Saccharomyces cerevisiae S288C: one gene and its partner. The protein of the gene in region 1 purifies or fractionates together with the protein of each later gene. This does not show direct contact. Each region holds a gene or a part of one and is shown in the gene's direction. Other genes may lie near its edges.

The links. Proteins that work in one complex are often made in the same cells at the same time.
Region 2: the proteins of NOC4 (region 1) and MPP10 purify together in Saccharomyces cerevisiae (affinity purification with mass spectrometry; 5 studies listed by BioGRID, with this or other methods). This does not show direct contact.

What each region holds. Positions count from the first base shown.
Region 1 is NC_001148.4:819,130-823,282, reverse strand, and holds NOC4 (ribosome biosynthesis protein NOC4), read left to right. Parts: upstream 1-1,859; coding exon 1,860-3,518; downstream 3,519-4,153. Other genes in the region: ASN1 (asparagine synthase (glutamine-hydrolyzing) 1), read right to left, coding at 1-663. UniProt on the Saccharomyces cerevisiae protein: Involved in nucleolar processing of pre-18S ribosomal RNA and ribosome assembly. Has a role in the nuclear export of 40S pre-ribosomal subunit to the cytoplasm.
Region 2 is NC_001142.9:437,193-441,146, forward strand, and holds MPP10 (rRNA-processing protein MPP10), read left to right. Parts: upstream 1-1,672; coding exon 1,673-3,454; downstream 3,455-3,954. Other genes in the region: AVT1 (Avt1p), read left to right, coding at 1-1,418; MRX12 (Mrx12p), read right to left, coding at 3,802-3,954. UniProt on the Saccharomyces cerevisiae protein: Involved in nucleolar processing of pre-18S ribosomal RNA. Required for the early cleavages at sites A0, A1 and A2 during 18S ribosomal pre-RNA processing.

The sequences.
Region 1 (4,153 bases):
TCTAACGGCTTTTTCTAAGGAGTGTCTAATTGCCATGTAATCTATTGGGGTGGAAGGAATGCGTTTTTCGTCCAGCCAATCTGGTGTGAAGTAACGGGTGATCTTGTCAGTCTTAGAATCGTATACGTGGCCCGGTGGGAATGCAGTGATAGTGTCACAGTCGTCAGTCAAACATTTTAGTTCGGATGCAAAATAAACGGTCTTTGGAGAAGCGGAAGAGCGTCCCATATATAATGTCGTAATACCGATTGGGTCTCTGGCTGCCACAATACGATCTTGTTTAGCGTCGTAAAGAGTCCAAGCAAACATACCATCCAAGTACTTAGGAGCGTCGATATCGTGCTTTAAGTACATTGGGATGATAGGCTCACAGTCACTCAGTGTTCCAAACTCGTAGTCTGCGCATTCTTCTCTTAATTGAATGTGGTTGTAGATTTCACCGTTAACACATAGCATGTACTCTCCGTCTGAAGAAGTAATTGGTTGAGCACCGGATTCCACACCGACAATGGCTAGTCTTTCATGAACAAATATAGTGGAGTTCTTGATAGCATTACCGGACCAATCTGGACCACGGTGTCTGATTCTTTTTGATAGTTGTAGAGCCTTTGGCTTATATCTATGCACGTCTTCGTGCCTGAAAGCGGCGAAAATACCACACATCTTAAGTTACGTCCGATTTATATCCTTAGCGTAAAGCAAGTTATACTTTTTCTTATTTTATTATGTAAAGGTAAGAAGAGTATGCGATCAGGGTCCAAACAGAATCTGTCTCCTAGTGGCGTTCACTATAGGGTTATATATGCGTATCTATAAATGCGCATAAATTCAAGAACGAACTATTTGTCATCTCGAGTGGGCAGCAAATTTTCAGTTTACAGAATGAGTCAAATGTTACATGAGTTAAGGCTCTTTTCCTTGTGCTCTCTCTCTCTGTCTGAGCCTGCCAAATGATAACAGTCATAGGCCCTGTACCTAATTTGCCGTCCACGGCAGCAGTACTGCTGCCGTGTGATTGGTGGATAGATAGTGCCAGCGATAAGAAACGGTAGTTGATGCCCGAAGGTGCTTTCCAGCGCAGAAAGACAGACCCCAGGCGTATTTGCGCTCACGTTGCACGAACACGGGCGGCATTCGTGATGACAATAGATTTAATTTAGATATGCACTGGTTTCCACAGAGACCAATCGACAGTCTTCCATGCAAGGTCACTTATTGTTAACGGCAAGTTTCCCTGGATGTCCGCTTTAAAACTGTTTCGGCACGGTTTAAAGGACACAAGTTTTGACTAGTCTACAATTTAAGAACATATAAAAAGCTACTTGTGTACAGATGAGATGACTACTCCCAAGTCAAAAACAACAAAAGAATGAAAGAAAAAAGAATCAGAATTTTATAAAAGCGTCCTTGTCATTCTTAAGAATGTAACAAGATCAATGGGTTGCGCAGGAACCGCTATCTCCATTAAAACCTCAGATCGCTCCGAGAAGAATTGTTCGATTTGAAACGCAAATAATATCATCGTATTCTTTTAAAAACTTGGAAGGTCATTGGTTTCTTTAAATGAAACCTCCAAAGAAAATCTAACGCGTCTTGGTAAAATATATGTACCGAGTGTTTCGCTTTTTATACCTGTTAAATGAAAATCGAAAAAAAAGAAAAAGAAAAAAGTTTTTCAGCACTTCTCTACGGGTAATCCTCGTATTTGAAGGTTTAGGGCTATTCTTGAAATTTTTCACTAAAATTTTCCAACTGAGAAAAAAAAAAGTGTATTACGGTTTTGATGAGATGAGATGAGATGTAATTATCATCCTCTATTGCCATGAAGAGAGATCTATTAAAAAGAAACGTCAAAGAATATGGTATTGCTTATATCAGAAATTAAAGATATTGCCAAGAGGCTGACTGCTGCGGGTGACAGAAAGCAGTACAACTCCATTATCAAGTTAATCAATGAACTAGTGATTCCAGAAAATGTTACTCAATTGGAAGAAGATGAGACAGAAAAAAATTTGAGATTTCTGGTTATGTCGCTATTCCAGATATTTAGAAAGCTGTTTTCCCGCGGCGACTTGACCCTTCCTTCGTCCAAAAAGAGCACATTAGAGAAGGAACAGTTTGTTAATTGGTGTAGAAAGGTGTATGAAGCGTTCAAGACGAAGCTGTTAGCTATCATTTCGGACATACCTTTCGAAACATCACTTGGGTTAGATTCGCTTGATGTCTATCTTCAACTTGCAGAGCTGGAATCAACTCATTTTGCATCTGAAAAGGGCGCACCATTTTTCCCCAATAAAACATTCAGAAAGTTAATCATCGCCCTATGGTCCTCGAACATGGGTGAAATAGAGGATGTCAAAAGCTCGGGTGCGTCTGAAAATTTAATCATAGTAGAATTCACGGAAAAATATTATACGAAATTTGCAGATATTCAATACTACTTTCAATCAGAATTTAACCAACTATTAGAGGATCCAGCCTACCAGGACTTGCTTTTGAAAAACGTTGGTAAATGGTTAGCTTTAGTAAATCATGACAAACATTGCTCTAGTGTTGATGCAGATTTAGAGATCTTTGTACCAAATCCCCCACAAGCCATAGAGAACGAGTCCAAATTCAAGTCCAATTTCGAGAAAAATTGGTTATCCCTTTTAAACGGCCAATTGTCTTTACAGCAGTATAAGTCTATTCTGTTAATTTTGCATAAGAGAATAATACCTCATTTCCACACTCCAACTAAACTAATGGATTTCCTTACTGATTCCTACAATTTGCAAAGCTCTAATAAAAACGCCGGTGTTGTTCCGATCTTGGCTCTGAATGGCCTTTTTGAATTGATGAAAAGATTCAACTTGGAATATCCAAATTTTTATATGAAACTTTATCAAATTATAAATCCAGACTTAATGCATGTTAAATACAGAGCAAGATTTTTCAGGTTAATGGACGTATTTTTGTCATCAACACATTTATCCGCCCATTTAGTAGCATCTTTCATCAAAAAGCTAGCCAGACTCACCCTAGAATCACCACCCTCTGCTATTGTCACCGTGATTCCCTTCATCTATAATTTAATCAGGAAACATCCGAATTGTATGATTATGCTGCACAACCCAGCCTTCATTTCCAACCCATTCCAGACACCTGACCAAGTGGCGAACTTGAAAACTCTGAAAGAAAACTATGTAGATCCCTTCGATGTTCATGAATCGGACCCTGAGTTAACTCATGCACTGGATTCCTCTCTGTGGGAGCTGGCGTCATTGATGGAACATTATCATCCTAATGTAGCCACGTTGGCGAAGATATTTGCTCAACCATTTAAGAAGCTAAGTTATAACATGGAAGATTTCTTAGACTGGAACTATGATTCTTTGCTCAATGCAGAATCTTCAAGAAAGTTGAAGACACTTCCTACGTTAGAATTTGAGGCTTTCACAAACGTTTTTGATAATGAAGACGGCGATAGCGAAGCGTCATCCCAAGGTAACGTCTACTTGCCTGGGGTAGCATGGTGAAAGCGAAGATGAACAACGAAGTTTTAAAAGTGTGTATATATACATTTATATCAACAGAGTCATCGATTTCCCTTGTTTGAGATGTAAAAAAAAAAAAAAATAGAAAATAGTAAGTCCCTGTTATCAATTTTGCCTAGGAAAAAAACCTGGGTCAAAAATAAATGGTCTCTAGCGGGATCGAACCGCTGATCCCCGCGTTATTAGCACGGTGCCTTAACCAACTGGGCCAAGAGACCATTCTATTGTTGAAGATTGTTTAATTTAGATAAACTTTCATAATGTTGAGAATTGCTTATTGCGATATATAAAGTTGAACCAAAGATCAATTTCTTTTTATGTATTGTAGAGAATTACAATTTGAAAAAGAGCTAAGGGAAATTGCTATATTCTAAAAGAAGTGCACAAGTACATTACCTTGAATTTTTATATTTATTCATGATATATTAATATTAATATATCGATGGTGAAGGACACCACACCTGTATTTCTTTGATTGAAAACAATTTTGTAACATTGGCTGCAAAAGTTTTTGCAATTGATATGAAACTATATGATAATATAGAATGCAAACAAAATTCAATTGCAAGGAGGAGGGAAGATATAGGGCCCCTTTCTCGCTTGACATAGACTAAATA
Region 2 (3,954 bases), on another chromosome or scaffold:
ACAACGATAGAGTTAGTACAGCCAGCATGGCTATTCACGATGATGATTATGGGTCCATCCAAAATTCAACAATTGGGGATTCTGGGTCAATATTACGCCCTACTGCCTCCTTAACAGAAATGATGAGTGGTGGAGCGGGGAGAAGGTTTACAAATAATGACATGGATTCAATTGTAGTGAAGAGAGTGGAGGGTGTAGATGGTAAGGTAGTAACTCTTCTTGCTGGTCAGTCGACCGCTCCACAGACCATATTCAACTCAATCAATGTACTGATTGGTATTGGGCTCCTGGCGTTACCTCTTGGTTTGAAATACGCCGGCTGGGTTATAGGACTTACTATGCTTGCAATCTTCGCCTTAGCGACATTTTGTACTGCTGAACTTTTGTCTAGGTGCCTAGATACAGATCCAACTTTGATATCTTACGCGGACTTGGGATATGCAGCATTTGGTACAAAAGGGCGCGCACTAATTTCTGCTCTTTTCACACTTGACCTACTGGGTAGTGGGGTGTCCTTGGTGATTCTCTTCGGAGATTCTTTAAATGCTCTATTTCCTCAATACTCCACCACTTTTTTCAAAATAGTTTCATTTTTTATCGTTACACCCCCGGTTTTTATACCATTGAGTGTTCTATCTAATATCTCGCTTCTGGGAATCCTTTCAACAACCGGAACTGTGCTAGTCATTTGCTGCTGCGGACTATACAAGTCGTCTTCTCCAGGTTCATTAGTTAATCCGATGGAAACGAGCATGTGGCCGATAGATCTAAAGCATCTCTGTTTATCTATAGGTTTATTGAGTGCCTGCTGGGGAGGACATGCGGTTTTTCCCAACTTAAAGACAGATATGAGGCATCCAGATAAATTTAAAGACTGTTTGAAAACTACCTATAAGATAACATCGGTTACGGACATAGGTACTGCAGTTATTGGCTTTTTGATGTTTGGAAATCTTGTTAAAGATGAAATTACTAAGAACGTTTTGCTGACGGAGGGATATCCAAAATTCGTTTATGGTCTGATTTCAGCGCTTATGACTATCATTCCTATCGCAAAGACCCCATTGAACGCAAGACCTATCGTTTCTGTATTGGACGTTCTGATGAATGTGCAACACATAGATGAAGCGGCCAGCGCCATAAAAAGAAGAGCTGCGAAAGGCCTTCAAGTATTCAATAGGATCTTTATTAATGTTGTCTTCGTTTTGATAGCTATTAATTTCCCTGAATTTGATAAGATTATCGCATTTCTGGGGGCCGGTTTGTGTTTTACAATTTGCCTAATTTTGCCGTGTTGGTTCTATTTAAGATTGTGCAAGACAACAATCAAACCATGGGAGAGAGTGGCTTGTCACGTAACCATATGTATTAGTGTCGTGTTGTCCACATTAGGTGTTGGTGCTGCAATTATTTCATAATCGACGAGGGGCATACTTACTCTACTTAAAATTCATTTACATTAGCTCTGTACTTCTGATAATGAAAAACCATTGCGTAATATACATATTTTCGTGTAGAATTATTTCCATAAAATATTCACCGCCTTTTCTGTACTGGCCGCCGGCATGCGAGGGAAGCAGAAAATTTTCAATTTTGCGATGAGCTCTTGAAGAAACAGTGTTTTGTTATGAATAAATGATGTGTGCACGAAAGACCCAAGGAAAGTCGTATAATGTCAGAACTCTTTGGAGTATTGAAATCTAATGCTGGCAGAATTATTTTGAAGGACCCCTCCGCCACTTCTAAAGATGTTAAAGCATATATAGATTCAGTTATCAATACCTGTAAGAATGGGAGTATTACAAAGAAAGCAGAACTGGACGAAATCACTGTTGATGGTTTAGACGCCAATCAAGTTTGGTGGCAGGTCAAACTAGTTCTTGATAGTATTGATGGTGATCTAATTCAAGGAATTCAAGAACTCAAAGATGTTGTCACGCCTTCTCACAATCTCTCTGATGGTAGCACCCTGAACTCATCATCCGGGGAAGAAAGTGAACTAGAGGAGGCAGAAAGTGTTTTTAAAGAAAAGCAGATGCTCTCTGCTGATGTTTCTGAGATTGAGGAGCAGAGTAATGATAGTCTTTCCGAGAACGATGAAGAACCTAGTATGGATGACGAAAAAACCAGTGCAGAGGCAGCTAGAGAAGAATTTGCGGAGGAAAAAAGAATTTCTTCTGGGCAAGATGAAAGGCATTCTTCACCCGATCCTTATGGTATCAATGATAAGTTTTTCGATCTCGAAAAGTTCAATAGGGATACTTTAGCTGCAGAAGATTCTAACGAAGCTTCTGAGGGGAGTGAGGATGAAGATATAGATTATTTTCAAGATATGCCTTCAGATGACGAGGAGGAGGAGGCTATTTATTATGAAGACTTTTTTGACAAACCCACAAAAGAACCTGTGAAGAAGCACTCTGACGTAAAAGATCCAAAAGAAGATGAAGAATTGGATGAAGAAGAGCATGATTCTGCCATGGATAAAGTGAAATTAGACTTATTTGCGGATGAGGAAGATGAACCGAATGCTGAGGGAGTGGGAGAAGCCAGTGACAAGAACTTATCTAGTTTCGAAAAGCAACAAATAGAGATTAGAAAACAGATAGAACAATTGGAAAACGAAGCGGTTGCCGAGAAGAAATGGTCTTTGAAGGGTGAAGTAAAGGCAAAGGATCGTCCCGAAGATGCATTGCTCACTGAGGAACTTGAATTCGACAGAACTGCAAAGCCTGTTCCTGTTATAACAAGTGAGGTCACAGAATCATTAGAAGATATGATTAGACGAAGGATACAGGACAGTAACTTTGACGACCTTCAAAGAAGAACCCTGTTAGACATCACACGTAAGTCTCAACGGCCTCAATTTGAATTGAGTGATGTTAAATCCTCGAAGTCGTTAGCAGAAATATATGAGGATGACTACACACGCGCTGAAGATGAATCTGCATTAAGTGAAGAGCTTCAAAAGGCACATTCCGAAATATCAGAACTTTATGCTAACTTGGTATATAAATTGGATGTGCTTTCATCAGTGCACTTCGTTCCTAAGCCAGCAAGTACTTCTTTGGAAATTAGAGTTGAAACACCCACTATATCGATGGAGGATGCTCAACCTCTCTATATGTCGAATGCCTCTTCTTTGGCTCCTCAAGAGATATACAATGTCGGTAAAGCAGAAAAGGACGGAGAAATTCGCTTGAAGAATGGTGTTGCAATGTCTAAGGAAGAATTAACCAGAGAAGATAAAAACAGATTGCGCAGGGCTTTGAAAAGAAAAAGATCGAAAGCTAATTTGCCAAATGTAAACAAAAGATCTAAAAGGAATGATGTTGTTGACACTTTGTCAAAAGCCAAGAATATTACTGTTATCAATCAAAAGGGTGAAAAGAAAGATGTTTCCGGTAAAACGAAGAAGAGCAGATCAGGGCCAGATAGCACAAATATAAAACTTTGAACACGCCGAAGAAGACTTAGTTTGTATTTAGGTAAAAAATTATTTCTTCATAACTCTGTTCACCCAGCATTTTTTATGGAATATCGACCTTGTAATGTCATTAACCCCTTAAAGGACCACTTAAAGAAAATGAAGTGCATCATGAAATATTCATGACGAGATGCGGAACATATACACTCATAAATACCAGAAGAATGTGCTGAATAATTTTTTGTTGGTAATTGGCTGTCATTTAAAGTATCGTTGAAACAAGAGGTATTGGAAGATAGCTAATTTTAGTATTATTTATGACGTTCTTTCCTGGATAAATGTAGATGTATATACGTAATAAAATGTTAATTAGTAAGTTATATGCTTTCCATATAATGTTCTATCTTAGTCTGCATAACTTGTTTGCTTGTTTTTGTTTCTAACGCTTCTCCATACTGGGCTAAGAGATTTTTTATTTTTTTTGCAGCAGTCGGCCCTGATATCAGCTTTTCTCCTAGTGCGCCATCAAA